4 linked regions of the Pelodiscus sinensis genome follow. The protein of the gene in region 3 interacts with the protein of the main gene of each other region in a pairwise test. Links are inferred from orthologs where the notes say so. Each region holds a gene or a part of one and is shown on either strand. Other genes may lie near its edges. The genes, in order: ERG28, GAPDH, TK1 and RBM48.

Region 1 (7,995 bases), on a different chromosome or scaffold from region 3:
TCCAAGAAACCAGCAGGCCAGGATGTGTGTCCTCCGACCCCCTCCCAGGCAACTGCTAGCAGTCCCGTAATCCGCAGACATAACCAACTGGCCTGAGTTCATCCCCTCTACAAATTTACCCAGCAGAGAGAACCACCAGCCTCCCATCTCTATCATCCAATATGTTCTAGAGATACAAATGGAAGTCACCCTGCTTTGGCACTACTGCCATAGTTACCAGGGGAATAAACATGCAGTCTATCCAAGGTAGATTATCCCTATAGCTACAAAGACAACCACCAACTGATGCTGACCCCCACCAAGAAAGCCCACATGCATGTGCTCCCTTCAGGCCCATAGTTGGGGGCACAACACAATCTGGGATGAGATCCACGCAATCCTTAACTGGCAAACATATTCCACGCAGTCTGATGGGAGCATAGCTATGCACCCAATATCACCAGGATAATGAAACCCCAGGGCTGAGGGTTCCAGAATGAGGATCAGAAACAGGATTAAAAGGCTGTGTCAGCTCTGCTAATTATCAGCTTGATCTAAGAACTAGGTTCAAGTGAGCAACTCCTCTTTCTAGGATTCAGGGGGTAGTAATTAAACTTTTTACTCCAAGAGCTGCTCAGTAAGGGTACATCTACACAGCACTGTTATTTCTGAATAATTGATGTTATATCAAAATAACAAAGTGCGCATCTACACATAAGCAATTATTTTGACAATGTTGAATTAATGTCTAGTTGGAAGACTTCTTACTCCGACTCCTCTAAGGCTCATTTTACGAGGATTAAGGGAAGTCAGAGGAAGAGTGATCTATTTCAAAATAAGTGCTGTGTACATGCGCCCAAATTCAAAATAAGCTCTTTCGACTTAAACTATGCAATTAGCGTAGCTCAAGTTGCATATCTTATTTCGAGTTTAGCCCTGTTGTGTAGACATACCCTTAGAGACCAGTGATTAATCCACCATATGGGGCTACCTGTTATGATATTTCAAGGGAAGACTGTCTACCCCTACATCAAGAGGAACTCAAGGGGATTTCAAGAAGCAGCTATTGATAATGGCCAGAACTGCCCCATAAGAGGACTTAAGAGTAATAGCAGTGATAAGTGTACACTATGGGGAAAAAGGGACACCCTTCTCTGGCATTTCCCTTACATACGTCTTGTTGCGAATGTCAATAGCACAGGAGCAGCGAATCACTGACGACAGTAGAGTCCAGATGCCAAAAGTCCGAGCTTGGAGACCATTCACTGTGCAGAGAAGAAACAAATGAGGTAAATGAATGCTCCATCCCATGAGCTACCATCTCTACAGGCTCGACCAAGTGGTTGAGCGAAGGAAGAACATAAAATCTACTTCCAGGTAGAGAGTTACACCATATCAAGATTTCCTAGATGATTCAAGGGCAGATAAGTGTGTACGAAAATAGCTGCTAGGAATCGTGCTCCCCTTTCCAGTAACCACAGACCCTCAAGGGAGAAAAAGAACCAAGGCTGGTTCCAGTGCTTCACTAAATCAGAAGCATTGCTATGGATGCTGAATAGCACAGTAGAAGACAGTACAGTGTAGGGATGTTAGCTTTAGATTAACTGGCTAATTGAATTGTCGATGCAAATTGCATCGATGATTCGATTAGTTGATAAGGGAGCCTCCACCTTTGAAGTGTAGCAAAGCCCCAGGGAAAAGCGTTGCAGGGAGAAAGCGTTGCAGGGAGCACGGGGCCAGCGGGGGACTCAAAGCAGTCCCCCACTGGTCCCATGCTTCACACGTTTCAAAGTGGCAGTGCTGCACGGAGCCCAACCCTGGGCTCCATGCAGCAGTGCCGCTTTGAAATGCTGTGTGCAGCCCAGGCCAACTGGGGACTCCCCAGCTGGCATCTGACTGCATGCATTTCAAAGAGGCAGCGCCGCATGGAGCCCAGGGTCTGGTCCCGGGCTCCACGTGGCGCTGCCGCTTTGAAGCATCCCATCCTCTTTCCTCCACCTTGCTGCCTCTTTCTGATAGAGGCAGCAAGGGTGGGAGGAAGCAACTAGTCAACTAGTGTATTAACTAGTCGTTCACATCCTTAGTATAGCGGAGACAGGCAGGCGTGCTCCAGAGAAAACGAAGGTTGACTGCTGAAGAGGGTTGCCCTGGTGCGTTTGGGCTAGCATGTGGAATACAGGAAGTTAAGATTTGCACTGTGGCTCACTTCTGAGATGTGGACAAAAGTTCTTCAGGACTTGGGGCAATATGCTGATAAATGAGGAATAGCTACTATTGTAATGACTCTTGATGGGCAGGATGGGCAACTTGGGCTCCTTACCAAGGCTAGGTGTGCCTGTATACAGCTTCTCAGAGAGAAAACTGTGGTCACGAAAACTCTGCAATGTGTTCCCCATTGCGATGATGGACACCATGACTAGCCAGCTGCGCAACACGTTCAGAAAACGGCTCATCATGCTCTGGTACCTGCTTCTGGGGACAAAAGCAGGAGATCATCACAAAAGGAAACCACACGGATTCTACTCCCTAGAACTTTTCCACTTAAGCCAGGAACCCGGCTTTTCCACAGAAAGTCCCTTTCTCTTTCCATAAGTCCCCAGAGAGCAAGCAGTCCTCACCAGATAAAGCTTGCACTACACCCCTGATAATGCAAGAGTAGAAATCTGTATGTCCAGCAGCCTGGAACAACATGATGCTGCTGCCCCATCGTAGGGAGTTACTAATCTTCAGGGTCCTGGGCAGAACATGACGAAGTAGAAATCTTTGGTGCATCCTCTCCACCTTTCTCTCTCCCCCGATTGGAGACAACAGCTTACCACATCACTCACGTCTGCAAGACCGATCGTGTATCTAGCTCCCTGCATGGCAAAGCTGGGCACTGACACCCAAGTTAATGCAACCTACTTGTTAATGCCAGTGGAGAGATTTACACTCCCTGCCCCGCTGTCCCGGGGCTGAAGTCCACTCCGTTTCCTCCGGTCCCACCCCCTCCGTGCCCCACATCTCCCGCACAAGTCCCCCAACCCGTCTTCGCGCCGATTCCCTCCCGCCCTCGACTGACATCACCATTTTATCGCCCTTCCCCAACAGAGAACATTTTATCGCCCTTCCCCGAGCCCCTCCAGCCTTCCCACTATCTTCCCTGAGCCCTGCACCGCATCCTCCGACCAGTCCTCACCCCGCTGCACATCTGCTCCCAGCCCTTCAGCTCCAGCCGCTCCCCTGTGCCCACCCGCTATGCAGCAGCAGCCCCACCCCTTACTGGTTTGCGTACTGGTTGGTTCCATGTTAGCCCTGTCCCTACTTAGATTGGCTGTTAGACCCATCACTACTCACACGCCATATAGATTGATAGGTCACTACACGAGTCTCTATATTACCATAAGGCGCCTCCGCTCCTGAGGCGCGGTGACGTAAAAATGGGCCTTGTGCGTGCTTTTGGGGGGAGGCGGAAGTTGCAAGTGGCGCGGGCAAGGCGTGCAGCGCGGTGTTTGCGCCTGCGTGTTAGGAGGAGGGGATGCCTCTGGCGCCTGCGCAGAAGGGAATTGGAGGCGGTTGCCTGCCTGTTGGTTGTTGTAGTAACGGGGAAGCGTCGGGAGGAGGGAGCAGTGGCCGGTGGGGCTGCGTTGCCCGGAGCCCATCCCATGCCCCCAGGAAGGTGAGGCTGTAGGCAGGGGGAAGGCGGGAGCGCATGGCGCGGCCCCAGGGGCTGCCAGCTACGGCGGGGGAAGCTGCGGGTGCCGCCCGCCAGCGCGGCGGGAACGTGGCGTCCCGGGCTCGCTAGCCCCGAGGCGGCCGCGTTCGGCGGGGCCTGTGGCTTGCGGCTGTGGGGCCAGGTGTCTCCCTGGAGCCCGGCCCGGCCCCCCAGTAGGAGCGGACGGCGCGGGGTGGGGCGCTGCCGTGGGAAGCAGCCCCCCTGCCCCGAGGCGTCACGGGGGTGCTGGGCCCTCCGCAGGTCCCTTCTGGCTGCGCTAGTAGAGCGAGTCGGAGGCTCCTGCGTGGGCAACGACCAGAGGGCCTGGGTCGGCGCCAGACCGTGTGGCGGTGAAACCTGAAGAGATCATCGGAGCCTCCTGTCTGACCCCCGTGTGGAGCACCATCGCGTGTGTTTGACTAAAGCATAGCCCTATTAGGAAAGCCTTTGAGGAAGAAATGCAGAAGCAGGCAGACCTTTTCCAGCTAGCCTCTGAGTCCCGTGCACAGGAAAGTAACTTTCTTTTCTGGGAAGCTGATCAGAAATCTATCCTGGGACTCCCTGCACAGGAGCAGTTTAGACCGAGAGGGGTCTCGCAGGAGATTGTTCATAAGGGCTGAGGGCCCCAAAGAAGTATCACTGTGAGTGAAAAGTTACTTAACTAGACAGGGCACTGTATCAAAGAGGGGTAGCCATGTTAGTCTGAATCTGCAAAAGCGAGGAAAGCTTATGCTCCAATAAATCTGTTAGTCTGTAAGGTGCCACAGGACTCCTTGTTGCTGTGTAGTTAAGTGTCTTGGACTAGTGATGGTTCAGAGGAAAGTACAAAAGCTGACTGTTATGGAAGTTTTTTCCTGGTCCAAATAGTTTAGTTTATACCCTGTAGTAGCAGGATAAATGTCCCATGTAGATTTGTGTACTGTACTGGAAACAGTTGAGGTAGTGCTGTGGCCTCCTCTCTTTATGCTGAGTTGGCATATGTCTCTAGGCTATTCTGCACAGTAATATACTCATATTCCTGATGTTTATTACAGGAAGCTGCATTGGCTAGATCCACTGATCCTCTGTGAAAGGGACTAAGAACCACAGTGACTGGACTGCATGAAAATTCCTATATGAGATGCCAGTTGGGATGGCTCGAGACTTGGAGGAAACTGGCTCATCCACAGAGGAGGAAGAAGTGGAAGAAGAGCCAGAGTAAGTAAAAACATATACAATGCCTGAATAGTAGCTGTGCTTCACCTGGGATGTATGGGGTCTTTAGAGGATATTTACTAATCTGGTATGACCATTTCATTCCTCACCTGTAATCCTTCAGGTCTGTTTGCTGAGGAAGGAAATAGATGGGGTGGGTTTGGGGCTTTTAATCATAAACAAGTATGTTGGTAGGTACAGAAATCTTTGCTTTGAGGAGTCTAAAAGAACCCCACTTTCCTTCAGAGAGGGAGCCTCTGGGATTAGGGCTGATAGGAAGAGGGTGAGGCCTCATCTGCTGATTTTTCTCACTCTCCTCACTTCCTGGTGTCTTCCTTATTATTACTACATTCTTTCACAACTCCCTGACATCCCTTTTTCAGCTAGGGTGGATTCTCTTGAGTACCATCCAGGGAAATGTGTAGCTCCTAGTTCTACTGTCTGCATTTGTTTCCATTTTTGCATATAGAAACATAAGGTATTGCAGAGCAGCCTGCTATCATGTAGGTCATTTGGACTCTCTTATCCCTCATGTTCTATTTAAGGTTAATAGGAGATATGTTAGTCCACTCATCTAGGAGTTCCTGTCAGTCCTATCTCCCTGCTTTGTGTGGCACCTCCTTCCATCTCTATTGCTCTAGTGTCCATTTCCAGAATGGTGTCCTACTCCTGCATTAGCAAAGTCTGCTTTAACAAGCTAGGTTTTTCTGTTTCTCAAAGACGACTCTCAGCATAGTTTACCATGAAAAGGGCCCCTACTTAATGCTCCCAATAAAACTGAGTTGTCCACGTGTTCTCAGACATCCCAGGGAAGGGATAGGAGGGCCTGGGTTGGCGTCATTCAGTCAGATGGCAGTTTGGTACTGTGTCTGCATCAAGTAACCAACGTCATGCTAGGGATGAATCTGGACAGTTGCTTGGAGGATAGTATGAGTCCTGGTGGCCTCAGTGCAAATCCTCAGAGCAGAGCTTAACCTAAAGCCCCTTTTCTGCTGTCTCGGCTCTGTTCCCACTTACGTAAGTAAGGTGCTAGCTTGTGCTAAGACTTGATGCTGCTGTACACTGGCAATGGGTGAGCAACTGAATTCATCTAAGGGTGTGTGGGAGGATTCTGGGGCCAGATAAAGAGCTCAGGCCTGAGTGGTCTGGTCTGAGGAGGGGGGAAGAAGAAAGATTGGGCTTGCCTTTATTTAGGGATAGTAAATATTTGTTGAATGTTCACATTTGATCTGATGCACTGGATGGTCCACAGGGAAAAATGATCTCTGCTATCCAATGTGGAGAGTAGACCTACTTACATTTACTTCTTTATCTCAGCCTTGAGAAGGTGCCCACACAGGAATCTTCTTTGTGCACCTCTGTCTAGAAATGTGGGGAAGTGGGTATACAGATATTTATCTCTGCATTAGGGATGTAATGGTGTAGTAAATTAACCAATAAGCAAAAGCGTATAGGTTAATGCTATACACTATACGCATTTCCCCCTGCCAGTATATTTTATAGCAGGCTGGCCAGCAGCCCGGCTCAGTCCTGGCTCATGCCATGTCTGGGACCGACCCCTGCTACAACTCTGCATTTAAAGTGTATTAGGAGCCAGCTGGCTCAGTTCTGGCTCGTGCTGTGTCCGGGAGCTCAGCCCTCCTCTCTGCGCTCCCCCCCACCCCCCGCACCCCTGGACAGAGTATGACGCAGTAGTGTGGGGTGGTGGCAGGCAGCCAGTCTGAGGGGAGAGCTATTTTTTTAACTGGCTCCCCTCATGGACCAGCTCCCGCCAGGCACCCCGTGCTGCTGCCTCATGGAATGGCAGGGGGCTCCTCGGGAGCGGAGTTGAAGTGCACTGGCTGCCGGCCCCACCCCTGGGGACCATAGAATAGTTGAGTAACCAATAAGAATTCATGAGGTTAACTGACTAATCCGTTAACCAATATTTAACAAATATGCAATGGTACAGATAAGCATGTTACTGAATGACTTTTTAAAGTACTTATCACTAGTGTGAAGTGCTAGCCAATTTTAATACTGGGTTGATAGGCAGTTGAAGGAGGGACCGTTGAACCCAGAAATCGGATTCAAAGACTGAAAAATCAGGGATGGGGCAACATGTACAGGTCACAGGGATCTGGCTGATGCACAAGCAGAGAATTGTGTATAATGCCCTCTGCTCCAAGAAGTTGCCCCGGTGACTGAATCTTTTGTGTGTCACCCATAGTTTGCCTTCCCTTGCCCAGGAGAGAATCAGATTGCCTGGTTCTTTCAATTATTGGCCTTTCTCCTGAGATTGTGAAGTTGGAGAGGAGCAGTTGTGCTGGTGGCTTTGTGATGCGGACACCTGTTCAGTGGGAATTGCATTTGAAGCCATTGATTTATTTTATATTGGCTGAACCAATGTTCTGTTGAGGTTAGACACAAACTTTTGAGCTTACACAGTGCTCTGCCTCATGTCAGACCTGAAGAAGATGTGTGTAAGTTCAAAAGCATATCTTTCTTCAATAGAAGTCTGTCCAATAAAAGATACTACCTCACTCATCTTTTAATATCCTGTAACCAACACAGCTACAGTAACACTTCATATTGGCCGAACAGATCTTTGGAGCCCACTATCAATGTATGTACGATTTAAATCAAGAATTGAAGGTGAGAGGCTCTGTATCCTATCCCTATTTGTGGAGTCATCTCGTACTCTGGAATGAGTTTGATGGTGACCAAGGGTAGACACTTCCAGGGGTAAGGCTTCATTAGGAAGTTTAAATATTTCTCCTTGACACACAACCTGTGGATGCAGGCTTAGCAAACTAACCAATATCTGCTGCAGCTTTCTCAGCTCATACCCTGGTCTTCAGCCTCACCTAATGGGGTTGTCAGGCAGATAAAACAAGCCACATCGCTTGGCAAGCATCTGAAGAATATTCAGATAATGCCAAAAATTTTACATGCTGTACACATCCCCCCTTCTGCATATCTCTTTCTTCTGATTGGTGCATGTAGATCTAGAAAATGTCTTACTCCCTCCAAGTGTCAGTGTTCTTTGTAAGCTGTGCACTTGTGCAGCTGCTCAGGGGAGATTGAAATGCTGCTGAGCTGACCAGCAGAGTGCCCGCAGCTAGGTTTTTGTTTGTACTGTAGGTGCA
Region 2 (7,753 bases), on a different chromosome or scaffold from region 3:
GAAGGGAGAGGGGGAAAGCAGAGGAATAAGGAATTATGGAGCGAGGCTCTCTTTATGGGCTATGGAGGCGAGAGATGTGAGGCTGAGCCTTGTGCAGGTAGGTCATTTTAAAATTTATTATGGCAAGCTGGCTCGTTTGCTGTGTGACTGGTACATATTTTTTCCCTAGACATAGGAGTTACAGGCACTCAGCCTGTCCTTTGGGACAATTCAAAATGAACTGCTTAGTGTCCTTCAACTCTTTTGTCTTGTGCTCCAAACTGGGGCGGGGGGGGCTGAAACTGGTAAAGATGGCTGAACATAACTGCCCCCTAACAGTGCAGTGCCTGCTTAGTGTAGGCAGAGCCCCCTTCTTGCACAGTTGTGCACCTGTATCAATACCTCTCACTCACCTGCGGTGCAGCTCTGCCAGTGCTCCTCAAGTCTGACCTTAAACAAATCCTCATGGCCTTTGTTCTTCTGTTTGAAGTTCTGAATGTTTTAGTGTTGGTGGTAGTTTTTGTGCATAAGGATATGTTTGTAAATAAACAGATATGTAATTAATTTGCCTATAGAGTTAAATTAGTCCAACACCAGTTGTAATAAAACCTCTGCAACAGCCCTTTTTGGACTGGTATTATTTGTGGAAAAAGAGATATCCTGTAGAAAGAAATGAGGGTGACAGAAACCAGAGAGGTGAAAAAGTGTATTATGTTCCTCAAGCCTCTGAGACAAACACCTCCTCTGCCCTGGAGTCAGACTGGAACTGGACTCTTACCCTCAAAGTAAAAATTCTTCTAGTCCCTGGGAGCCTCCTATCTATTTGTATTCTGCTCTATGAATAAAAGCATGTGTGTTGGTTGGTGTGTTTTTGTCAGCAGGTGGCAGCAGCATCTTAGGCATGGTGCAGCCCCTTGGAGTTAGTTTACTGACCTGATCTTTTATGCTCCAGTTTCCCATTTCAGTCTAGGTGTTCAGTGTGTACTAATCTGGACAATCTCCTGTCATCCTACAGCTAGTGAGAGAGAGTGGCTGAATCCAGACAGGTTCCTTGCTGGGGAAAGACTTTGTCCTGTATTGCCCTAGAACGTCTTTCTCTTTCATTCTCTCCTGTCTGACTGTTTGCCTCAGTAGACACTGTTCTGCTGTGTTCATCTTACCAGCTGTCCCAGCCTGACCTAATACTTATGTAACAGCCATTCAACTTGCATTCCTTTGTCTCCCCTTTGCCAAACTCCACAGCTGAAGCTGCCATCCTACCTCCCCTTTCACGATGGCAGCACAGTCACAGAAAAGCCAGAGCCTTACAGCGTGGTTGCTAATGCACTGGCTGCTGAGCAGGCTTTTCCCTTGGTAGACTCTCATGCCTAGGTCCCTGTTATCTCCTAATGGGGCAGCCTGGGCCCTCTTCCTTCCACTTCCTGTGCTAGACTGTTAGCTTCACAGTCAACTTCTCTCTCCTGCTAACCACAGGAGAAACTGCTTTCCAGGTCCAGAGGCCATGGTACAGAGCCACGGGCAGGCATGTTGTAAACTATGTGTACCACCTGTGTTTTCTACTCCTGGTCGGTCTTGTAGTGGGGAGCAGGACCATTGGTGGGAGTGGTTCTTAGCTACTTCAGTGCTGGTTTTCCCCCAACAAGAGGCACTATAGTGGTGGTTGCTAGGATCAGGGTGTAGCAGTTTGCAGCTGTTTGGTTGGTCTGTCTTCCTTCTGCACAGAGTCCTCAGCAATGTGTGTTTCTCCAGCCAACACAGGCCCTTTTGTTAGTGCAAATGCTCAAGTAGCTCAGGAGAGAACGTCCATCCCCTCCTCTTCCTGACTTCTCTACAACATTTTGCCCAGGATCTGCCCCATGTCCTGGTGGGTCAGAAGTACCAAACTGTCCCCACTCCTCTGGTGTGGTATAGACCATCCCTGTGGCCTTTAATTAAAGGTCATAACTTCAATTCGAGCTAAACTTAGCTCCCTCCCACTTTCCCAGCCCTGGGAATAGCATCTGGATGAGGGGAGTTGGATTACTTCTTAACCAGTTGACCTGTCTCTGCTCCTCTTGGTATCTGCTCTGCTACCCATTCCTATCTGTGCTTTGCTTTCTCCTACTGTCTCCTCTCCCTACGGCGCCTATGCTACTGTCCCCCCAGTCCTGGTAGGCAGGGCCAGGGCCAGGGCGGAGGAAGGGTTTACTCCTTTACTATCCGCACGCATTTCCATAGCTCACCCGGTCTCACGAAAGGGAGACTCCTTAGAGCTCTCCAACGTGTTGTTTGAAACACGCTCCAGCTCTCACCCTTCCCGCGGCTCCAGGGGAGGGGGGATCTGTTCTGCACCAGGGATTTTTGTCCCCGGCTGGGCACTGCCACTCCTAGCCGAGCTGACTGGGGGGCGGGCATCCCAGCTCGGGCAGGGCGTCGCCGGGGCACTGCTGTGAGAAAGCTCATCCTGCAAGGCTCCCACCCGGGGCTGCACGGGTGAGGTGAGGTCGGCCTGTGAGCCAGGCAGGGCCCGGCCCAGGAGCAGCTCCTGCCGCGGGTGCTCCCCCTCCCGCGCACAAGGCCCCGAGCCACGGAAACGCCCTGTCCCCCCCCGCGAGCGGGCGAGTCAGGTGGTAGGCAGGATGTCCGCAGTCACGTCCCGCGGGTAGCAGCCTCCCTGCCTTACTGAATGTTCCTCACGCTGGGGAGCGCGGCCTGCTGGAGCCGGGCCCGAGGGCGGGACGCCAGGCCGGCCAGCGCCTGGGAACCGCGCTCCCAGGCTGAGCACGTCGGGCCGGGGCAAGGCGGGGGCGCCGAGCCAGAGAAAGGCCCAGGGAGCTGTGGCGGGGGGCGGGGCGGCAGCGCCGGGCCGGGCCGAGGGACAGGGGCCCGCAGGGTGCGGATCCTCCCAGGCTCGCCCCGGCGGTGCCAGGCTGCTGCGGGGGCGGCTCGGGGAAGTTGTTCCCGCAGGCGCCGGTGCAGCGACCGAAACACTTAACTTCTCAGGATTTGTGACTTTGGGTGCACTGAGCCTGCGCACCCGAACTGAGCAAACTCAGAGATTTTTCTACCCAAAAACACAGTTTCTCTGAATTTGCAAGCAGCCAGCAAAGGGAGCAAGTCCTGAGCAGTTGCACCGAATGTCATGTGTGCGTGACAGAAACTGTGACGGTCACAAAAACGGAGCGGTTTCACTTTTTGCCTATACACCGGCCCGAGCCCCTTCTTGCTCAGCCCACGTGACAATTGTGCCCCGTTCCTTCCGCGCCCGGGGGCTTGTGCAACTCCCGCCCAGCCCCCACCGCAGAGCCTGTGGCCAGGTTACCGTACTGTGTGTGGTAGAGGCGCACTCGCTCTCCTGCCAGTCTTCCGAGCGCGAGCTAGAATGAAGCGCCAGGTGTAACTCAGGCTGAGTGGAGACAGCTCGCCTGCTCCCACCGGGGAAGAGCCCTGGGGCCCATCCCCCATGCACGGCCCTTTGAGGGGGAGGGGCTTCCAGACCCCTCGTCCTCTCTCTGGGGAAGACCGACGGAGCCCCTGAAGACAGGCGCCCCCATCGAGGGATCCCGCAGACACGTGTGCGCGTCCCCTCCGGCCCCCTCCTCGCCACTGTGCTCCGATTGCTGTGCGAGTCCTTCCCCTGCCCACCGCACAGCGGCGGGGCTCCGGCAGGGAGTTCACTGGAGCCAACCAACCGAAAGAATAAACCCCACTGAGAAAGGGGATAATCGCCCGCCCCACCGGTCTGCGCTAACCCTTCAGGGCCGGGCTGTACTCTCCTGCTCTTCCAGTCCTGGCCTTCTCACGCACCTTATCTACCCTCCACTTGTAATCTGCTCCCCTGCTGCGCTTTCAACTCACCCCTCCCCATACCCAGGCGCGCAGGGGACGCCGCTTAGTGCCCCTGGCATTACAATAGCATCTAAGCCGTGGGCCCTTGTGCTGGGGCCCTAACATCCCCACAGTTCCCTGTCCCAGCCACCCCTGCCTCACAAGGCACTTCAAGCTTCGATGGCTGGGCCTGTGCCCATCTGAGTTTCTGGTTACAGAAAAGAGGTAGCGGGCGAAGCCCAGTGCATGCCTGGTCTCACCGCCTTGCACGGGAAGCTACATTGGATTTCCCCTCTGCACAGCAAGTGGGCGCATCGGAGGGATCTGTACATGTGACTCGCTTGTGTGGGGCCTGCAAGAGGGAGGGGGAGCCCCCTGAGTCTCCTTTGTAAGGCGAGGGAGTGCGAGAGAAGGGCCAAAAATGGGCGTGGGAAGAGGAGGCGCGTAACCCCTCAGCATTAGGGCTGCACGTAGCCCTCCGCCTCTGATTTGCCGCTTGCTCGAAAGGCTGGGCCCAGCGATTACCATACGGAAATCTATAAAGGTCGGGGCAGCCAGAGTCCCTCCCTTCACCTTCCCCCTACTGCAGGCGCGTGGCTGAGAGGCAGGGCCCAGGTAAGGGCTCTCAGCCGCAGCGGGGAGTCGGCACTTGGCCGCGCCGGGGTGGCTCAGGCCGGAGCGCGAGTCTCGGGATACTGGTGGGAGTGGGGCGCGGGCTGCATCTCGCCGCCCTACTGGGCAAGGAGGCCGCGGGGGGCCGGGCATGTGGGGCTCTGCGTCCGGAGTCTCTTTGTGCTCCGGCGGGGCGAGCGAGGTGGAGGCTGCGGGGAGGTTGCGCTGGGGGGCGCGGGGCTGAGGCTGCCGGTGCTCGGCGACGCAAGCCCTGGGGAGAAGGAGGCGACAAAGCCCTGGGGGGCGGGCGCTGGCCGGGGAGGAAGTGGCCTGGAGGCTCCGGCGGGCGCTGGGTCCCGCCCGTCCAGCCGCACGGGGGGCGGGGCGGGCCCGGCGGCTCAAGGCCCTCGGGCCAGTTCTCTGAAGCCGGGGGCGGTGCCGCTGCCGTCTGACCCCTGCTCTCTCCGCAGGCGCATCCCGGCAGAAGCGCGATGGTGAAGATCGGAGTGAACGGGTGAGCGGCGGGGGGGGCCGGCCACGGGGGGGCGCCAAGGGCGTGGCAAGGGCACCGGGCTGGGCAGCGCCGGCGGGCGGCTGAGTCATTTCTCCCGCCGCTGCCGGGGGGGGGGGGGGGCGAGTCACCCCGAGCGGGAAGCGCCGGGCGGCCGCATGCGGCCCGGGACGGGCGCCGGGGTATCGCGTGTCCCGCCGGGCCCGGGGAATGTGACCTTCTCCTGCCGCGCCGTAACCGGACCCGGGCCGCGGGGTAAATTTAGCGCCCGGTCGGCGGGGGCGGAGCAAGCAGCGGGGGGCGCGGGGCTCCAGGCGCCGCTGTGTGCTGCCCGGCTCCCGGCCCCTGCTGCCCCGGCTGGCTGGGTGGGAGGAGTGTAGGGCGGGGGCCTCCTTTGCATCGGGGCAGCCGCTGGGGCTAAAGCCCAGTCTGAGTGGCCAGCACCCATCGGCACAGGGCTCCCCTGCTCTGCCTGAGGCTCGCCTCTTCTCTGCCTTGCCTAGATTTGGCCGCATCGGCCGCCTGGTCACCAGAGCTGCCTTCACCTGTGACAAAGTCCAGATTGTAGCAATCAATGACCCATTCATTGACCTCAACTACATGGTGAGTGGAACCCTGGTCTATAACTTGGAGCATTCTGGGGATGGCCTGGGAATGTGGCTATCAGTGATACCATTTCCCTGTGAACCCTGCCAGTGCCCATGGCTACACATTGGGATTGAGGGGCCCAGAGTTAATGCCTGGGCTGTGGGAGTTGAAACACAATGCAGCCAGCACTCAACTTCAGTCTGTTACTCCTAGGTTTACATGTTCAAATATGACTCCACGCATGGTCGCTTTCATGGCACTGTCAAGGCTGAGAATGGAAAACTTGTGATTAATGGACAGGCAATTACCATTTTCCAGGAGTGAGTATGACTCTTCCTCCCCTTTCCCTTGGAGCTAGGGGACAGGGCATTTGACAGCCTTGCAGTTTCTAAATACTCTGGTGTCGTCCTCAGGCGTGATCCTGCTAACATCAAGTGGGGAGATGCTGGAGCAGAGTATGTTGTAGAATCCACTGGAGTCTTCACCACCACAGAGAAGGCCAGCGTGAGTGATGGGTTACATCTGGCTTGGAAGTGGGAAGGAAAGGGTGTAGGGATGAGACTCTTGGCTGCATGTGGAAGTGGGTGTGGACAGAGTTCTCTCTGCCCTGGGGCTGTATTGCAGTGCGATTATTTGGGGAGGTGTCCTAAATGTGCTGCTGTATTGGAGCGATATAGGATTTTGTTAATGTTGGTCTGTCTCCCTCAGGCTCACCTGAAGGGGGGTGCTAAGCGTGTCGTCATTTCTGCCCCCTCAGCCGATGCACCCATGTTTGTGATGGGCGTCAACCATGAGAAATACGACAATTCTCTGAAAGTTGTCAGGTGAGGAGGGGGACAGTTTGCAGGAGTCTTCTCAGGGTTGAACCTGAGGTGCATAGCTGACTATTGCCCTCTCTTGTGAGTTGTGGGGAGGGAGCTGAGAGGTGAGCCCTGACTAACTGCCTCTGGCTAATGTGTCCCTCTTGACTCTTCCAGCAATGCCTCCTGCACCACCAATTGCCTGGCTCCTTTGGCCAAGGTCATCCATGACAACTATGGCATCGTGGAAGGTCTCATGGTAGGTAATCTGGAGGCGCAAAAACCCACACCAGCTCTGTCAGTGGGACAGAACCATGGAGCTTTTGGGGGGGAGGGGTGTCTCTGCACACTCAAGCTGGGACTCCTCAACCCACAGTTTTGGGTGTAGAGGAAGGAGGATTGGGAACCCACAGAGCAGGAGTGTCTCCCTATACTGCCTGGACTAGAGGAAAGTTGAGGAAGGCTGGGGGAGGAATGCTCTAGGTCAGCAGGGTGAGGCTCTAGAGAAATTCAATTAACCCTTCCCCCTTTTTCCCCCAACTTCCAGACCACTGTCCATGCCATCACAGCCACGCAGAAGACTGTGGATGGCCCCTCTGGGAAGTTATGGCGAGATGGCAGAGGTGCTGCCCAGAACATCATTCCAGCATCCACTGGAGCTGCTAAGGCTGTGGGCAAGGTCATTCCTGAGCTGAACGGGTGAGTGTCAGTTCCTTCTCCCAGTGCCCCAAAGCAGGGGATTCATCAGAAGGGGTAGTGAACCTTCAGCTGGCCGGTCTTGCCCTTTCCTCAGCAGGATGTGCAGAAACCCTGTTTGGGGGCAAGCAGGAGTCTATTCTGATCTGTTTCCCTCACAGGAAACTCACCGGAATGGCTTTCCGTGTTCCAACTCCCAATGTGTCTGTTGTGGACCTGACTTGCCGCCTGCAGAAACCAGTGAGTATCACAAAAAGGGACTTGGAGCAACTTCCCTTTACCCCTAAGTTTCTATCCATTCCTCAACGTGTGGGACTGGGTGCAGCTGTTCTGAAGCCCCCATTCCATTTAGAACTGTTGTTGTTGTTTCTTGTGATTTAAGAGATTGTGCAAGGGGTACAGTCAGGCCTGTGGGGAGCTGCCCCTGTCTGGTATAGTACCAGACATAACTGGGTCCTAACTATACTCTTAGCAGTGCAGTCTCAAAGCTGGCAGCAACCTTCCCTGGGGAGCAGCTGCCATGCCATGGGGTCTGGGATGTTCTGACTTCCTGTGTCTCTCTCCCTCAGGCCAAGTATGACGACATTAAGAAGGTGATGAAGGCTGCCTCTGAGGGGCCTCTCAAGGGCATTCTGGGATACACGGAGGACCAGGTAAACTCCCATGTCCTTTCAACAGCGGGGGAGGGGGAATGTAATGAATGTCTTCATGGATGTGGGGAGAAGCAGCCTTATGGAACACCAAATCTTCAGTACACCCT
Region 3 (7,329 bases):
TGTGCAAATCATTTGTGCAAGAGGGCCAGTGTAAACAGCACAGAACTGTTTTCCGCAAAAAAGCCCCGATTGCGAAAATGGCGATTGGGGCTTTTTTGCAGAAAACCGCGTCTAGATTGGCCACGGACGCTTTTCCGCAGAAAGTGCATCCTGCCAACCAAGATGTGCTTTTCCGAAAATGCTTTTAACGGAAAACTTTTCCCTTAAAAACATTTTTGGAAAATCCTGCCAGTGTAGACGTAGCCCTGTTGACTCAGCCCAGAATCATGTTTGCTTTTTTTGCAACAGTGTCACACTGTTGACTCATATTTAGCTTGTGGTCCACTATGACCCCTGGACGCCTTTCAGCAGGGCTCCCTCCTAGACGGTCGCTGCCCATCGTGTGTGTGACACGGATTGTTCCTCCCTAAGTGGAGCACTTTGCATGTGTCCTTATTGAACTTCACCCTGTTCCCCTCAGCCCATTTCTCCAGTTTGTCCAGATCATTTTGAATTCTGACCCATCCTCCAAAGCACTCACAACCCCTCCCAGCCTGGGATCATCTGCAAACTTAATAATCCCGCTCTCTGCCACTTTCTAAATCATTGAGGAAGATACTGAGCAGAACCGGACCCGCCACTGATCCCTGCGGAACTCTTCTTGATCTGCCCTCCAGCATGGCAGGAAGGGTCCTGGAACAGCTGGTTATAAACCCCAGTGGTGTCAGCCCCGAAGAAAATAACCCTGGAATGAATCAGTTTCACAGCATTGCCCAAGAGGCTTTTTCTCCTGCAAGGAGGGGCCCTGTAGACAGCTCCTTGGGACAAGAGCCTCTTCCGCAAAATGGTGGCTAATTAGGTATGCAAATGAGGCTCCGGAGATATTCCACCTTAGTCTCATTTGCATACTTCTGGCGCAGGATCGGCCCGTGTAGACCCAGCCTAAGCGAGGTCCTGAGAGCAGCTGGACAAGGACCCAGCTCCCTCCTTACCCCGCCCCCCAGGAGTACCCGAGCGGGCAGCCCCTACCTCGTCTGTCATGTCTTGCCACCGCCCCATGTCGCTGCCCCCGCCCGCCCGCACCGGCTGCGCTCGGCTCGCTGCGTGGCCAGCGCAAAGCAACCCCCTGCGGCCGCCCGCGCGCGGGGTGGGGCCGGCCCGGCCCGGCCCCATTGGCTACTCTGGGGGGGCGGAGGCGGGGGGGGGGGCACCCGGGGGGCACCCTCCAGCAAAGCGCAGGAAGCGCCGCGGGCTCCCCAGCAGCAGGGCGCACAGCTGGGTCCCTCGGCCAGGCAGCGCCCCCAGCCAGGGGAGGGGTCGCATCGTCCCGTCCGCGTCCCCACTACAGCACCTGGTGCAGAAGCTCCCCCCGCCCCCGCCTGACCAGGCCTGACCCCCCCCAACAGCTGCCGTGTAGACAAGAGGGGAGACCCCTGCCCCGGAGTGGCTAAGCGCCAAAATAACAAAGAGCGTGGTCACCCCAAGCTCCTGCAATCCCCGCTCCCCCCCCCGCTTCCACTTGGCTTGGATCAGCCCCCCCTGCAATCCCCGCTCCCCCCCCCGCTTCCACTTGGCTTGGATCAGCCCCCCGTGCAATCCCCGCTCCCCCCCCCCGCTTCCACTTGGCTTGGATCAGCCCCCCCTGCAATCCCCGCTCCCCCCCCCCCCCGCTTCCACTTGGCTTGGATCAGCCCCCCGTGCAATCCCCGCTCCCCCCCCCGCTTCCACTTGGCTTGGATCAGCCCCCCCTGCAATCCCCGCTCCCCCCCCCCCGCTTCCACTTGGCTTGGATCAGCCCCCCGTGCAATCCCCGCTCCCCCCCCCCCGCTTCCACTTGGCTTGGATCAGCCCCCCCTGCAATCCCCGCTCCCCCCCCCCGCTTCCACTTGGCTTGGATCAACCCCCCCTGCAATTCCCGCTCCCCCCCCTTCCACTTGGCTTGGATCAGCCCCCCCTGCAATCCCCGCTCCCCCCCCTTCCACTTGGCTTGGATCAACCCCCCCTGCAATCCCCGCTCCCCCCCCCCCCGCTTCCACTTGGCTTGGATCAACCCCCCCTGCAATCCCCGCTCCCCCCCCCCCGCTTCCACTTGGCTTGGATCAGCCCCCCCTGCAATCCCCGCTCCCCCCCCCTTCCACTTGGCTTGGATTAGCCCCCCTGCAATCCCCGCTCCCCCCCCCCGCTTCCACTTGGCTTGCATCAGCCCCCCCTGCAATCCCCGTTCCCCCCCCCCCGCTTCCACTTGGCTTGAATCAGCCCCCTCTGCAATCCCCGCCCCCCCCCCGCTTCCACTTGGCTTGGATCAGCCCCCCTGCAATCCCCGCTCCCCCCCCTTCCACTTGGCTTGGATCAGCCCCCCCTGCAATCCCCGCTCCCCCCCCCCCCCCCGCTTCCACTTGGCTTGGATCAGCCCCCCCTGCAATCTCCGTTCCCCCCCCCCCCGCTTCCACTTGGCTTGGATCAGCCCCCCCTGCAATCTCCGTTCCCCCCCCCCCCCGCTTCCACTTGGCTTGGATCAGCCCCCTCTGCAATCCCCGCCCCCCCCCGCTTCCACTTGGCTTGGATCAGCCCCCCTGCAATCCCCGCTCCCCCCCCTTCCACTTGGCTTGGATCAGCCCCCCCTGCAATCCCCGCTCCCCCCCCCCCCCCCGCTTCCACTTGGCTTGGATCAGCCCCCCCTGCAATCTCCGTTCCCCCCCCCCCCCGCTTCCACTTGGCTTGGATCAGCCCCCCCTGCAATCCCCGCTCCCCCCCCCCGCTTTCATTTGGCTTGGACCAACCCCCCCCTGCAATCCCCGCTCCCCCCCCCGCTTTCATTTGGCTTGGACCAACCCCCCCCCGGAATCCCCGCTCCCCCCCCCCCGCTTTCATTTGGCTTGGACCAACCCCCCCTGCAATCCCCGCTCCCCCCCCGCTTTCATTTGGCTTGGATCAGCCCCCCCTGCAATCCCCGCTCCCCCCCCCCGCTTCCACTTGGCTTGGATCAGCCCCCCCTGCAATCCCCGCTCCCCCCCCCCCCCGCTTCCACTTGGCTTGGATCAGCCCCCCCTGCAATTCCCCCCCCCCCGCTTCCACTTGGCTTGGATCAGCCCCCCCTGCAATCCCCGCTCCCCCCCCCCCCCCGCTTCCACTTGGCTTGGATCAGCCCCCCCTGCAATCCCCGCTCCCCCCCCCCCGCTTCCACTTGGCTTGGATCAGCCCCCCCTGCAATCCCCGCTCCCCCCCCCCCCCGCTTCCACTTGGCTTGGATCAGCCCCCCCCCTGCAATCTCCGTTCCCTCCCCCCCCCCGCTTCCACTTGGCTTGGATCAGCCCCCCCTGCAATCCCCGCTCCCCCCCCCCCGCTTCCACTTGGCTTGGATCAGCCCCCCCTGCAATCCCCGCTCCCCCCCCCCCGCTTCCACTTGGCTTGGATCAGCCCCCCCCCTGCAATCTCCGTTCCCTCCCCCCCCCCGCTTCCACTTGGCTTGGATCAGCCCCCCTGCAATCCCCGCTCCCCCCCCCCCCCCCCGCTTTCATTTGGCTTGGACCAACCCCCCCTGCAATCCCCGCTCCTCCCCCCCCGCTTCCACTTGGCTTGGATCAGCCCCCCTGCAATCCCCGCTCCCCCCCCCCCCCCCCCGCTTTCATTTGGCTTGGACCAACCCCCCCTGCAATCCCCGCTCCCCCCCCGCTTCCACTTGGCTTGGATCAGCCCCCCCTGCAATCCCCGCTCCCCCCCCCGCTTTCATTTGGCTTGGACCAACCCCCCCCCCGGAATCCCGCCACGGTCTCGCCCCTCTGCACCCGCCCCGGGGCTGCGCGGCTCGGGGCGGGGCGGGGCGAACGCGCTGCGGGCCGGGGGGGCCCTGGGCGATGGGGGGGGGCAGTGACCCCGTGACCGCCCCGCCCCGCATCCGAGGACGTTTCCCGCCAGGCCGCTGATTGGTGGCCCGGGGCGCGCGCGGGACTGGCCCGCTGCTGATTGGCCGGCGCCGCTGGAGGAGCCGAGGCGCGCGGGCCCCTGCGCAGCAGCAGCGGGATGAGCCACCTGAGCGCGCCCGGGCCCGGCTCCCCCGCCAAGGCGCGTGGGCAGATCCAGGTGCGGGGGGGCGGGGGGGTTCGGGATGCCGGGTTCGGGGGGGGCGCAGGCCCGGGGGGGGGTTCGGGATGCCGGGTTCGGGGGGGGGCGCAGGCCCGGGGGGGGGTTCGGGATGCGGGGTTCGGGGGGGGGCGCAGGCCCGGGGGGGGGTTCGGGATGCCGGGTTCGGGGGGGGCGGGCCCGGGGGGGTTCGGGATGCCGGGTTCGGGGGGGGGCGCAGGCCCGGGGGGGGGGTTCGGGATGCCGGGTTCGGGGGGGGCGCAGGCCCGGGGGGGGGTTCGGGATGCCGGGTTCGGGGGGGGGGCGCAGGCCCGGGGGGGGGGTTCGGGATGCCGGGTTCGGGGGGGGCGGGCCCGGGGGGGTTCGGGATGCCGGGTTCGGGGGGGGGCGCAGGCCCGGGGGGGGGTTCGGGATGCCGGGGTTCGGGGGGGCGCAGGCCCGGGGGGGGGGTTCGGGATGCCGGGTTCGGGGGGGGCGCAGGCCCGGGGGGGTTCGGGATGCCGGGGTTCGGGGGGGGCGGGCCCGGGGGGGTTCGGGATGCCGGGTTCGGGGGGGGGTGCAGGCCCGGGGGGGTTCGGGATGCCGGGTTCGGGGGGGCGCAGGCCCGGGGGGGGGGTTCGGGATGCCGGGTTCGGGGGGGGCGCAGGCCCGGGGGGGTTCGGGATGCCGGGGTTCGGGGGGGGCGGGCCCGGGGGGGTTCGGGATGCCGGGTTCGGGGGGGCGCAGGCCCGGGGGGGGGTTCGGGATGCCGGGGTTCGGGGGGGCGCAGGCCCGGGGGGGGGTTCGGGATGCCGGGTTCGGGGGGGGCGCAGGCCCGGGGGGGGGTTCGGGATGCCGGGTTCGGGGGGGGCGCAGGCCCGGGGGGGGGTTCGGGATGCCGGGGTTCGGGGGGGGCGGGCCCGGGGGGGTTCGGGATGCCGGGTTCGGGGGGGCGCAGGCCCGGGGGGGGGTTCGGGATGCCGGGGTTCGGGGGGGCGCAGGCCCGGGGGGGGGTTCGGGATGCCGGGGTTCGGGGGGGGGGTGCAGGCCCGGGGGGGGTTCTGGATGCCGGGGTTCGGGGGGGGGGTGCAGGCCCGGGGGGGGTTCTGGATGCCGGGGTTCGGGGGGGGTGCAGGCCCGGGGGGGGTTCTGGATGCCGGGGTTCGGGGGGGCGCAGGCCCGGGGGGGTTCTGGATGCCGGGGTTCGGGGGGCGGGCCCGGGGGGGGTTCTGGATGCCGGGGTTCGGGGGGGCGCAGGCCCGGGGGGGGTTCTGGATGCCGGGGTTCGGGGGGCGGGCCCGGGGGGGTTCGGGATGCCGGGGTTCGGGGGGGGTGCAGGCCCGGGGGGGTTCGGGATGCCGGGGTTCGGGGGGGCGCAGGCCCGGGGGGGTTCGGGATGCCAGGGTTCGGGGGGGATGCAGGCCCGGGGGGGGGTTCGGGATGCCGGGGTTCGGGGGGGGCGCAAGCCCGGGGGGGGTTCTGGATGCCGGGGTTCGGGGGGGCGCAGGCCCGGGGGGGTTCGGGATGCCGGGGTTTGGGGGGGCGCAGGCCAGGGGGGGTTCGGGATGCCGGGGTTCGGGGGGGGCGGGCCCGGGGGGGTTCGGGATGCCGGGGTTCGGGGGGCGGGGGCAGGCCCGGGGGGGGGGTTCGGGATGCCGGGTTCGGGGGGGGCGGGCCCGGGGGGGTTCGGGATGCCGGGGTTCGGGGGGGCGCAGGCCCGGGGGGGGGTTCGGGATGCCGGGGTTCGGGGGGGCGCAGGCCCGGGGGGGGTTCGGGGGGGCGCAGGCCCGGGGGGGGTTCGGGATGCCGGGGTTCGGGGGGGCGCAGGCCCGGGGGTGGCGTTCGGATGCCGCGGTTCGGGGGGGCGCAGGCCCGGGGGGGTTCGGGATGCCGGGGTTCGGGGGGGGTGAAGGCCCGGGGGGGGTTCGGGATGCCGGGGTTCGGGGGGGCGCAGGCCCGGGGGGGTTCGGGATGCCGGGGTTCGGGGGGGCGCAGGCCCGGGGGGGGTTCGGGATGCCGGGGTTCGGGGGGGCGCAGGCCCGGGGGTGGCGTTCGGATGCCGGGGTTCGGGGGGGCGCAGGTCCGGGGGGGTTCGGGATGCCGGGGTTCGGGGGGGGTGAAGGCCCGGGGGGGGGTTCGGGATGCCGGGGTTCGGGGGGGCGCAGGCCCGGGGGGGTTCGGGATGCCGGGGTTCGGGGGGGCGCAGGCCCGGGGGGGGTTCGGGATGCCGGGGTTCGGGGGGGCGCAGGCCCGGGGGTGGCGTTCGGATGCTGGGGTTCGGGGGGGGCTCACTCAGCCCCGGTCTCAGGTCGTTTCCTGTCTCCCCAGGTGATTTTCGGGCCCATGTTCTCCGGGAAGAGGTAGGGGCTGCGGGGTTCTCGCTGGGGGGTCCCTCGTCGAGTCTCCGGGGGTGGGTCGCGCTGCCCGAGGCTGGGCTGGGGCCCCGGGGCAGGGGCTGGCGCTTAAGCTGCTTTGCTGGGCGTCCGTGCCTAGATCAGCTGCTAGCGGAGCCACAAAGGGCCCTTCGTGCTGCCCACCTGCCTCCCCAGGTCCCTGCTCCCATCACAGGGCTGCCAGCTGGCCTCTGTGTCCTTGGTAGGCCTGCCCCCGCTGCGCTGCCTCCTGCTGGGATGCTGCTTTGCATTGGGGGAATCCTTGGCGGTAATAGCCATTCCTGCCCCTGTGCTAGCCTCATGCTGGGGCTGATTGTCTTGTAGCACGGAGCTCCTGCGCCGGGTCCGCAGATTCCAGATTGCACAGTACAAATGCCTTTTGATAAAGTATGCCAAGGACACGCGCTACGGCACCAATGGGGTCTCCACACACGACAGGTGAGCTCATCCCAGTATCGGGGCGGGTAACTATAGAGAACTCTGCTTACAGTTCACCAGGCCTGCCTTCAGTGGTGCTTGTCTAGGCACTTGGCAGCCCTTCGGCCCTCCACATGCTGCTTTCAGGAGGGGTGTTCTTTACAGCTAGCTGACCCGCAGCCGCAGCAAGTGTAAGTGGCACAGGGTTAGGCCCCTCAGAACAGCTTGAACCCTCTGTGACGTAGTGGGGGTACTTGCTGGGCTGTGGTGACCCCTGCTGTCTGGAGCAAGACCCAGCAGGGAAAGCCTCACTCTGCAAAGGTAATGCCAAACTTGTTGAACCACCCCCCCCCATGGAGAGGAACAAAGGAAGGGGGATGCTGCCCTGGCTGGGGGGCAGGGCTGGAAGAGGGTTAGTGAGTTGTTGGCTGGAAGCATGGAGGAGACAGCCTAGGGAAAGGGGCTGGAGTTTAGGGGCCCA
Region 4 (7,454 bases), on a different chromosome or scaffold from region 3:
TTGACTGGTAGTCTGTGGAAAGGTCTGTGTTGAGTGGGGTGGGCCAAGAAGTTTGAGAACCACTGTCTGGAATCTCCACAGTGCTGCATGCTGCAGCCCCACCACTGACACATCCCACCCCCACTATGTCTGCATCACCAGTCCCTGCAACTGGGGGAATTCTACCTTTGGTGGATCCATGACCTTAGGGCCCATTTACCCTGCACAAGGATCAGAATGGGGCTAAGACTCTCACCTCATGTTTCTTAGCTATGCTTATGTTTCTGATAAATGAGATCACACACCTCATTATCAAGAAAAGAAACTAGGGAAACAAAAGCATTAAAACCTATCCTTTTGTTAATCCCCTATTCACTATTTGTTTTATATTTTTTGTGATCATTTAGAATCCATTGAACACTGAGAACTTCCCATTCTGCTCTTAAAATACTGAAAACACAGACACGCACACTTTGTAGAAAAGTAAATAGGAACAATTAACTATAAGAATAGGCATTTTTACTTTGCTAAAACATACCCACAACACAAGCGATACTTTAAACTTTCAAAAGGGTGTCCAATTACAAACCTCTATTACTTGTTGCTTTTGCTATATACTTTCTCCTGTCTTGCAACTTCTCCCTTGTTTCTTGGACTGTTTCAAATTCTGGAGCATAACACACATGAAGCAAACTACCAAAGAAACTCCGTTCATCCATTTTTCTCTTGGCTATCCTAAATGAAAGAAAATTGCATTAAAATGTTACATTAGTCCAATATTACCATAGCTTACATTTTAACAAACGTATCTGTGGATCACTGATATTCTCTTGATCTATGTTTGTAATAAACGTTTACATGACTACACTGTACAGAGAACACATCATTCTTGTATTTACCAAGCATATTTACGTGGAATAAATATTTTACCTGAATCTCAAGAAATTTACTTGAAAATATATTATATTAAGAAACCAAAGATTGAAGAAAATGGAAAGCATACAGATGTTATCTGTTGCAATACCTTGCACTCTGTAATTTTTGGAATTTGATAAGATAAACTTCTGTAAATTGTTCCGCTGGATACTCATCTAAAGCATTGTACTCCTCAATGGCACCATATAATGCAAACTGTTGCACTAATTCCTTCATGACACCCAAAGCAGGAACGCCTTGTATTAGCAAATAACGAGATTCTAAGTTGACAGTGTACACCTAAAAGAAATAAAAACATTTACATACATTTATCTTGCAATAAAACATTAAATACTATATTCAAGCAGCTCAAGTATTTTTCTTCTATTGACCTCTTAGAACTTTAGAAAATTTTAAACATTCCCCCTTGATTTCAAGCCTGGAATCTTTCAAAGAAAGTATTATAGGGACTCCCAACAAACAGAAATCTGTAAGAATTCTATGATCAGCAGGGACTTCCTCATCAGTGACTGGTTATAGAACTCAATCATTCTGATCCAAAAGCAGATGCCTACCATTTGAGTTAGGTTTATTTCCGATCTGATCCAGTAAAGAGCAATGCTATATAGTCTAGCCAGTACATTACATGTGCTTTTCAACAATGAACATGTTTGCAGGATTGGGCCCTGAAGCTTGTATGTATTGTATGCAACCTTTCAAGACAAGATAAGGGAATACATTTTTCAATTTATTTTCTACAATTCTATGATTCAACTGAATGCTGGTAGGCTTTCTGTAGCATGTAACAAGACATCTAAAATGAGGCCAAAATAGTGCAAGAAGAATTTTGAAATGTGAGATTTCTTTCAATATTAATGTTTCCTATAGTTTCATAATCGAACATTCCTTACATTAATGATTAACACTCCCAATATGGCCAGGTTTGTGTGGAGTGGGGGATGTTAAATGTGGCCGGAACAAACTGATGTTTGTTGTAATGAGAGACGCACATATGTTAATCAACACAACACAACAAATAGTCTGGTAGCACTTTAAACACTAACAAAAATGTAGATGGTATCATGAGCTTTTGTGGCCCACTTCTTCAGATGACTGGAGTGTTGGAAGTCCAGAACCAAGAATAAATAAGACAAGGAGAGATGGGGGCGGGCAGGGAGGAAAAAAATTGGAGGGGAGGAAAAGAGGACATTGGGTACATACTTTTCAAAGGGATAGCAGAGCCAGTCTGAAACAGGAAACATTTAAAAAACAACAAATAGTCTATTAGCATCTTAAAGACTAAATAGTTAAAAGAGGCTGATAATCATTAGTTTGCACTATGAAAGGAAGAGTAGTGACACCAGATTCTACACAGACATCAAGAACCATTGACACCTCCTCATCACTCCTTCCTTTATTTATTCTTGGTTCTGGACTTCCAACACTCTGCTCATCTGAATAAGTGGTCTGTGCCCACAAAAGCTCATGATACCATCTACACGTTTTGTTAGTCTTTAAAGTGCTACCAGACTATTTGTTGTTAAGTTTTTCCTGTTACAGACTAACTCAGCTACCCCTCTGAAACTTTTAAATATGTTAATCAAATGGTTCCTAACTCATTGGTGGCAAGCTTTATATCGGTTTTTGCCAGAATGAAACCTCATTAGTTTCCAGGCAGCGCCAGGTAGGTGAGAGTGTGTGATGGGGTGATTTGCAATCCTGCACCATCCTATCACCCCAACAGGCTGCGGCCTTTGGATCACAATGCCACAAAACTGAACACAGAGCGTGCACCCACAGCCACTGGAGAGCAAGAGCCAGCCAGAGCCCCGCCCTGTGCCGTGCCCCCGGGTGGCCTTAGCCTGGGCCAGGGAGTGAATAACTCTGCCCCAGGCGCCGCAGCGTTCGGAGCAGGGTGACGCTCCCGCAGGGAGAACAGGAGGCGGCTAGAGCAGCCCGCAACCTGGCGCGTACCCGCGGGCGGGCGCGGGCATTTGAAGCCAGATGCTCGCCCAGGTGGCCCGTAGCCCGGGCTAACCAGTGCAGGCCCCGCACATTCCCACCTTCACTGCGCGGGGCCTGCGCCCCTCCCGGTACTTGGCGCGCGAGTCGCAGACGCCCTGCTGCGCGTGGTGTTTACAAAAGCCCCCAACTCCATCGCCAGGCACCGCCATCTTCCCATCTCCCCCCGCGCGCGCCACGGCCAGGCAGCACCAGTAGCTCCCCGAAACAGCAGCCAGTCACAGAACCGGGGAGCGATTACGGCGCGCTCATTGGCTGCGGGCGGGGACGCGCAGGAGAGATTTGGGCTGACCAGACAGCACCTGCAGAATCCCTCGAGAGAACAGCCAATCAGAGAAAGCGGGCGAAGGGGGCACGCACGCTCATTGGCCTGTGGCGGGCCGTACCAATGTTGCTGGAGGGTAGGGGCCAGTACTGAGGGCTCGTGCTTCCTTCTCTCTGGCCACACGGGGTAACGCTCCCTGAGTGCGGAGCGGCCGCTCGATGCTGCCGGGGCGCGCCGCGGCTGGGTGCGGCCGGGGCGATGTGGGGCAGCGGCTACCCCGGAGGCGCGGGGGGCGCTGCTGTGACTGTCGCCTTCAGCGGCACCCGGGACTGCTTCCTGCACCTGCCGCCTGCGCTGGCCTCCCACCTTCGCCTGCAGCAGGTACTGGGGCGGGCCCCGGCTGGGCGATGGGACCCTCGGAGCGGATCGTGGCAGAGCCCCGCCCCTCTCCCCACCAGCATGCGGGAGGGACTGGGAGGCGCCCCTCTAACTTTCATGGCTTCACCCCTCCTCGCCAGCATCCCCCTCAGGGCTACGGTGACATCGCTTCAGTCCCGCTCCCCCGGTCCGTTAGACCCCGCCCCCTGCCATCCTAACGCCAGGCCGTTCTCTCGCCGCTTCCCTCCCCCCAATGCCAGTGATGCAGTGACACCCCCTGCCAGATCTCCTCACATACCACCGATTACCCCACTGCCAGCGACATCCCATCACCAGCACTTCCTTATCGTGCTCCCCCTCCATGCTCGCCAGTGGCGCCCCTCAGTGCTCGCCAGTGGCGCCCCTCAGTGCTCGCCAGTGACAGCAACTCCTCTGATGCCAGCACTTTATCACACTCCCCTCACACCAGTGCCCTCTCAGCCAGTAATGCCTCCAAAGCCAGCAATGCCTCCAATACCACCATTTCCTCACAACAGCCCCTAATGCTAGCAAAACTACCAGCACCTCCTCACAACCCCTGAGGCCAGTGATGACTCTGATACTAGCCCCTTTGCATTGCTCCCTTTCCATGCCAGTTACACCCACGCTGCTTGCAGTGCCCCCAATGTTAACATCTCCTCACTATGTCCGCTAATGCTAGTGATGCCCCCAGTATTAGCATCTCTTCATGACACTCTCTGCAATACCAGTAATTCGTTACTACCACCAGCACCAACACACAATGTCCTCACAATGCCAGTAAGTTTTCATGGTGGCCCCAGTGCCAGTGATTCACTTTGAATCGACTGCCTCACAAGACCCCTGATCTAGAGGTGTAAAAAGTTAACCAATTAACTGATAAGCATTGCTTTACTGGCATGCTTATCAGTTAACCCGTTAATTGGTGTGGAGAGCAGCCAGCCGCCCACAGCACAGCTATGGCTGGTTGGAGCAGCCTCTCCACCTGCTGCAGGGTGTAGGAGTTAATTGCGGAAGAGTTTTGTACATGTAAGTTTAGGGGTGTGAGGCCTGCATTCTTACCCCTTCCCCCATATCTGATGAGCCAGAAGCATGTTTTTGGGAACATATGCCATTTAAGATAAGCATTGTTGCCAGTATAGCAAGAACGAGGGTAAAGGGCAAGAACGCATAAACAATCCTGTTTACTCTAATGCACTGATCACTTAAACAAGGCCAAAGAACAAGTAGAACAAAATCAGAACCAGATGGATAACTAACAGCCGAGCCCTACATCAGCAAGTAATGAATAACCCCTGGAAATTTCCATACTGCCAAACAAGGCAAGAAAACTGTATTTAAGACTGCTCCAAAGCACAGCAATTTGGACCTCACCGATGGGCTTTGGGTACCGGTGCCTCGGAAGCTGAGACAGTCTCTCACTTTGTCCGGCTAGCCAAAGGGACGTAAGATATGCCACTTTCTGTAGAGTTGTCTTCAACTCTAGTTGACTTGTCCAGTGAAACAAAACAAATGCAGTGTCATATATTTTTGATACATATACATGATACAACCCCTGCTTGTCTCCTTCCCCCAAAAAATTGTACCATGGAGTGTTATCCCTGATTCCTAATGATACACAATCTGCCTATACTCATCCAATTCCCTCCTAATATCCCCTTCTTTTACATTTTCCACACTCTTAACAATAACTTGATAGAATCTAAATTAATCTTTAAAACAATAAAGAGCCAAGAAGATGCATATATTGAGGTACCAAACGGGTTCGTAACCTTTTGTGTGTGTAAATCTCTACCTTCGTTACTTTATGTTTCTAGTATCCATCAAAGCAAGGCCCCAGTGATCAAATCAGAGATAGATAGGCAGATCTTTGCACCGGCATGGAGTGTCGTATTCAGATTTTCAATGATTCAGTGTATTACAGTGTATTTCTGTCTTGTGCTAAGATGCTACATTATTTGTTAAAAGAAAGCATGGCAAATCCAGGAACAAACCGCATTTCTTCATTTTGTAATCAAATGTCAGGTTTTGTCTATACTGTTAATGAGAACAAGCAGTATTTGTGGAGTATAATTTTATTTACATTGTTTTCTATTAATGTTATTTTGTTGTCTGAAATCAGCAGGGCCAAGCTGTGAAAATCTCCTTGGGTTACCAGCCTATATTTTTGAGTTGGATGGAAATTAGACATCGTAATCACCATGGTGAAAATATTGCTGAAATTAACAGACACCTAGCAGAGAAACTTGGCATTGCAGAAGGAGAACAGGTTTGGAATGCACTTTTTTTAAACAAAATTTCTGGAAGAAATAATGCTTTCATTTAGGTTCCAATTGTGCAGCCTGTTCCATGCAGGCAGACAGATCCCCACTGTCCTCACTGGGACTGAATGCAGCAATATTATTGATGCTGCTATTTCTTTTCACTTTGTATCTGTTGTGTTCACTATAGGACATCTATATCCTAAGCATACCACAACAGCTATGTTTTACTTCTGAGGGAATTGGGGAATTCTGCATTATTGAGCATCACAGAATTCAGATTCTTTAACCCATGCCTAAGCTTTCCCGCACAAAATCACAGGGAAGCAAAGGGAAGCTGCAAGAGTGTGGTCACATAACTGCATGGTATTTGGCACTGGGAGTAGTTGGTCTGGGGATGTCCATGGATGTAGTTTGGGGGAGGCATTGCTCCCCCAATGCTCCCCCAAACAGAAGCAAGGTATGGGGGGGGGGGAGTATGGAGGATATTTGCCACTGTGTTGGGGGCATTTCTGCTAGGAATGCGATTTAGGAATGTGAACAATTAGTCAACTGTCTGATAAATGATTATTGGATAGTCTACAGGCTAGTCGTCTAATTGCTTCCTCCCACCTGGCTGCCTCTCTCAGAAAGAAGCAGCAAGGGGAGGAAGAGAAGGGGTTACTTCAAAGCAGCAGCACCACGTGGAGCGTGGGGCCAGACCCTGGGCTCCAGGCGGCAATGCTGCATGGAGACTGGGCCAGCTGGGGTGTCCCCAGGCTGCATGCAGCATTTCAAAGCAACAGCGTTGCATGGAGCCCGGGGTCACCGGGCGAATCCCCAGCTGACCCCAGGCTCCACACAGCACTTTAGCTTTTGAAGAGTAGCAACAGCTTAAGGGCTGTTGCTATACTTCAAAGGCAGAGGTGCCCTATCAACTAATCAAATAGTCGATGCAAAATATATCGAGCATTTGATTAGTCAATTCACTTGATATTTAACATCCCTAATGTGATTGCGTATCCAAGTACACAGTTAACTGATAAGCCTGGGCTCATCAGTTAACCCTCTTGGTCACATGCAGACCCCACCCCCACTGTATCAGTGGCAGTAGTGTGGGGATGGAGGGGCAGTCGGGAGTTGGTATGTGCAGGGAGCCGGCTTTCAAGCCTTCTCTCTTTCTCTCCCGCCCCTGCCCCCCCCCCCCCCACCCCCCCCACACACACAGCTGCTTCCCACAGAGGCATCAGTGCAGGCTGGAGGAGAGGCAGGAGCCATTGCTTGCAGGGAGCTGACTTTTAAGCCCTACTCCCCACATTGCTGCCTCTGTATCTGAGGCAATAGCATGGCTGGGGGGACAGCTCCCGCCTTTCTCCTCCCATCCCTCCATAAACATGTATCCATTGAAAATTTCAGCAGTTACACGTTTACACAAATAAACGCGTTTTAACATCCCTAATTTCAGCAAGTGCAGAGCTACCTGGCTGATGGAGAGTTCAGTTGAGGCTGCTGACTCTGTAGTTGGATGCCACCTCCTGAGTCATAGTGCAGAATTTTAAAATGTGAGCAGAATTTTTCTGTTTTGGGACAGAATTTTTATTGTTTTGGTTCAGAATTCCTTCAGGAGTAATAGTGAT

What was found.
Region 1: the proteins of TK1 (region 3) and ERG28 interact in a two-hybrid assay, tested with the Homo sapiens proteins (2 studies listed by BioGRID and IntAct). The link is inferred for Pelodiscus sinensis from reciprocal best matches to the Homo sapiens genes TK1 and ERG28.
Region 2: the proteins of TK1 (region 3) and GAPDH interact in a two-hybrid assay, tested with the Homo sapiens proteins (2 studies listed by BioGRID and IntAct). The link is inferred for Pelodiscus sinensis from reciprocal best matches to the Homo sapiens genes TK1 and GAPDH.
Region 4: the proteins of TK1 (region 3) and RBM48 interact in a two-hybrid assay, tested with the Homo sapiens proteins (2 studies listed by BioGRID and IntAct). The link is inferred for Pelodiscus sinensis from reciprocal best matches to the Homo sapiens genes TK1 and RBM48.

The regions. Positions count from the first base shown.
Region 1 is NC_134714.1:43,678,973-43,686,967, reverse strand, and holds the start of ERG28 (ergosterol biosynthetic protein 28 homolog), read right to left. Parts: upstream 3,466-7,995; 5' UTR 3,360-3,465; exon of another isoform or gene 2,970-3,359; intron 2,733-2,969; exon of another isoform or gene 2,598-2,732; intron 2,452-2,597; exon of another isoform or gene 2,449-2,451; 5' UTR 2,436-2,448; coding exon 2,300-2,435; intron 1,245-2,299; coding exon 1,154-1,244; intron 1-1,153. Other genes in the region: tubulin polyglutamylase TTLL5, read left to right, coding at 4,794-4,870.
Region 2 is NC_134711.1:138,811,789-138,819,541, reverse strand, and holds the start of GAPDH (glyceraldehyde-3-phosphate dehydrogenase), read left to right. Parts: upstream 1-4,286; 5' UTR 4,287-4,401; intron 4,402-4,865; exon of another isoform or gene 4,866-4,868; 5' UTR 4,869-4,889; coding exon 4,890-4,912; intron 4,913-5,412; coding exon 5,413-5,512; intron 5,513-5,710; coding exon 5,711-5,817; intron 5,818-5,910; coding exon 5,911-6,001; intron 6,002-6,205; coding exon 6,206-6,321; intron 6,322-6,474; coding exon 6,475-6,556; intron 6,557-6,844; coding exon 6,845-6,996; intron 6,997-7,154; coding exon 7,155-7,233; intron 7,234-7,562; coding exon 7,563-7,646; intron 7,647-7,753. UniProt on the Homo sapiens protein: Has both glyceraldehyde-3-phosphate dehydrogenase and nitrosylase activities, thereby playing a role in glycolysis and nuclear functions, respectively.
Region 3 is NC_134730.1:29,477,058-29,484,386, forward strand, and holds the start of TK1 (thymidine kinase, cytosolic), read left to right. Parts: upstream 1-3,912; 5' UTR 3,913-3,999; coding exon 4,000-4,059; intron 4,060-6,366; coding exon 6,367-6,398; intron 6,399-6,755; coding exon 6,756-6,869; intron 6,870-7,329. UniProt on the Homo sapiens protein: Cell-cycle-regulated enzyme of importance in nucleotide metabolism. Catalyzes the first enzymatic step in the salvage pathway converting thymidine into thymidine monophosphate.
Region 4 is NC_134712.1:213,672,135-213,679,588, forward strand, and holds the start of RBM48 (RNA-binding protein 48), read right to left. Parts: upstream 3,153-7,454; 5' UTR 3,069-3,152; coding exon 2,958-3,068; intron 1,195-2,957; coding exon 1,004-1,194; intron 715-1,003; coding exon 569-714; intron 1-568. Other genes in the region: peroxisomal ATPase PEX1, read left to right, coding at 3,440-3,562, 5,700-5,846. UniProt on the Homo sapiens protein: As a component of the minor spliceosome, involved in the splicing of U12-type introns in pre-mRNAs.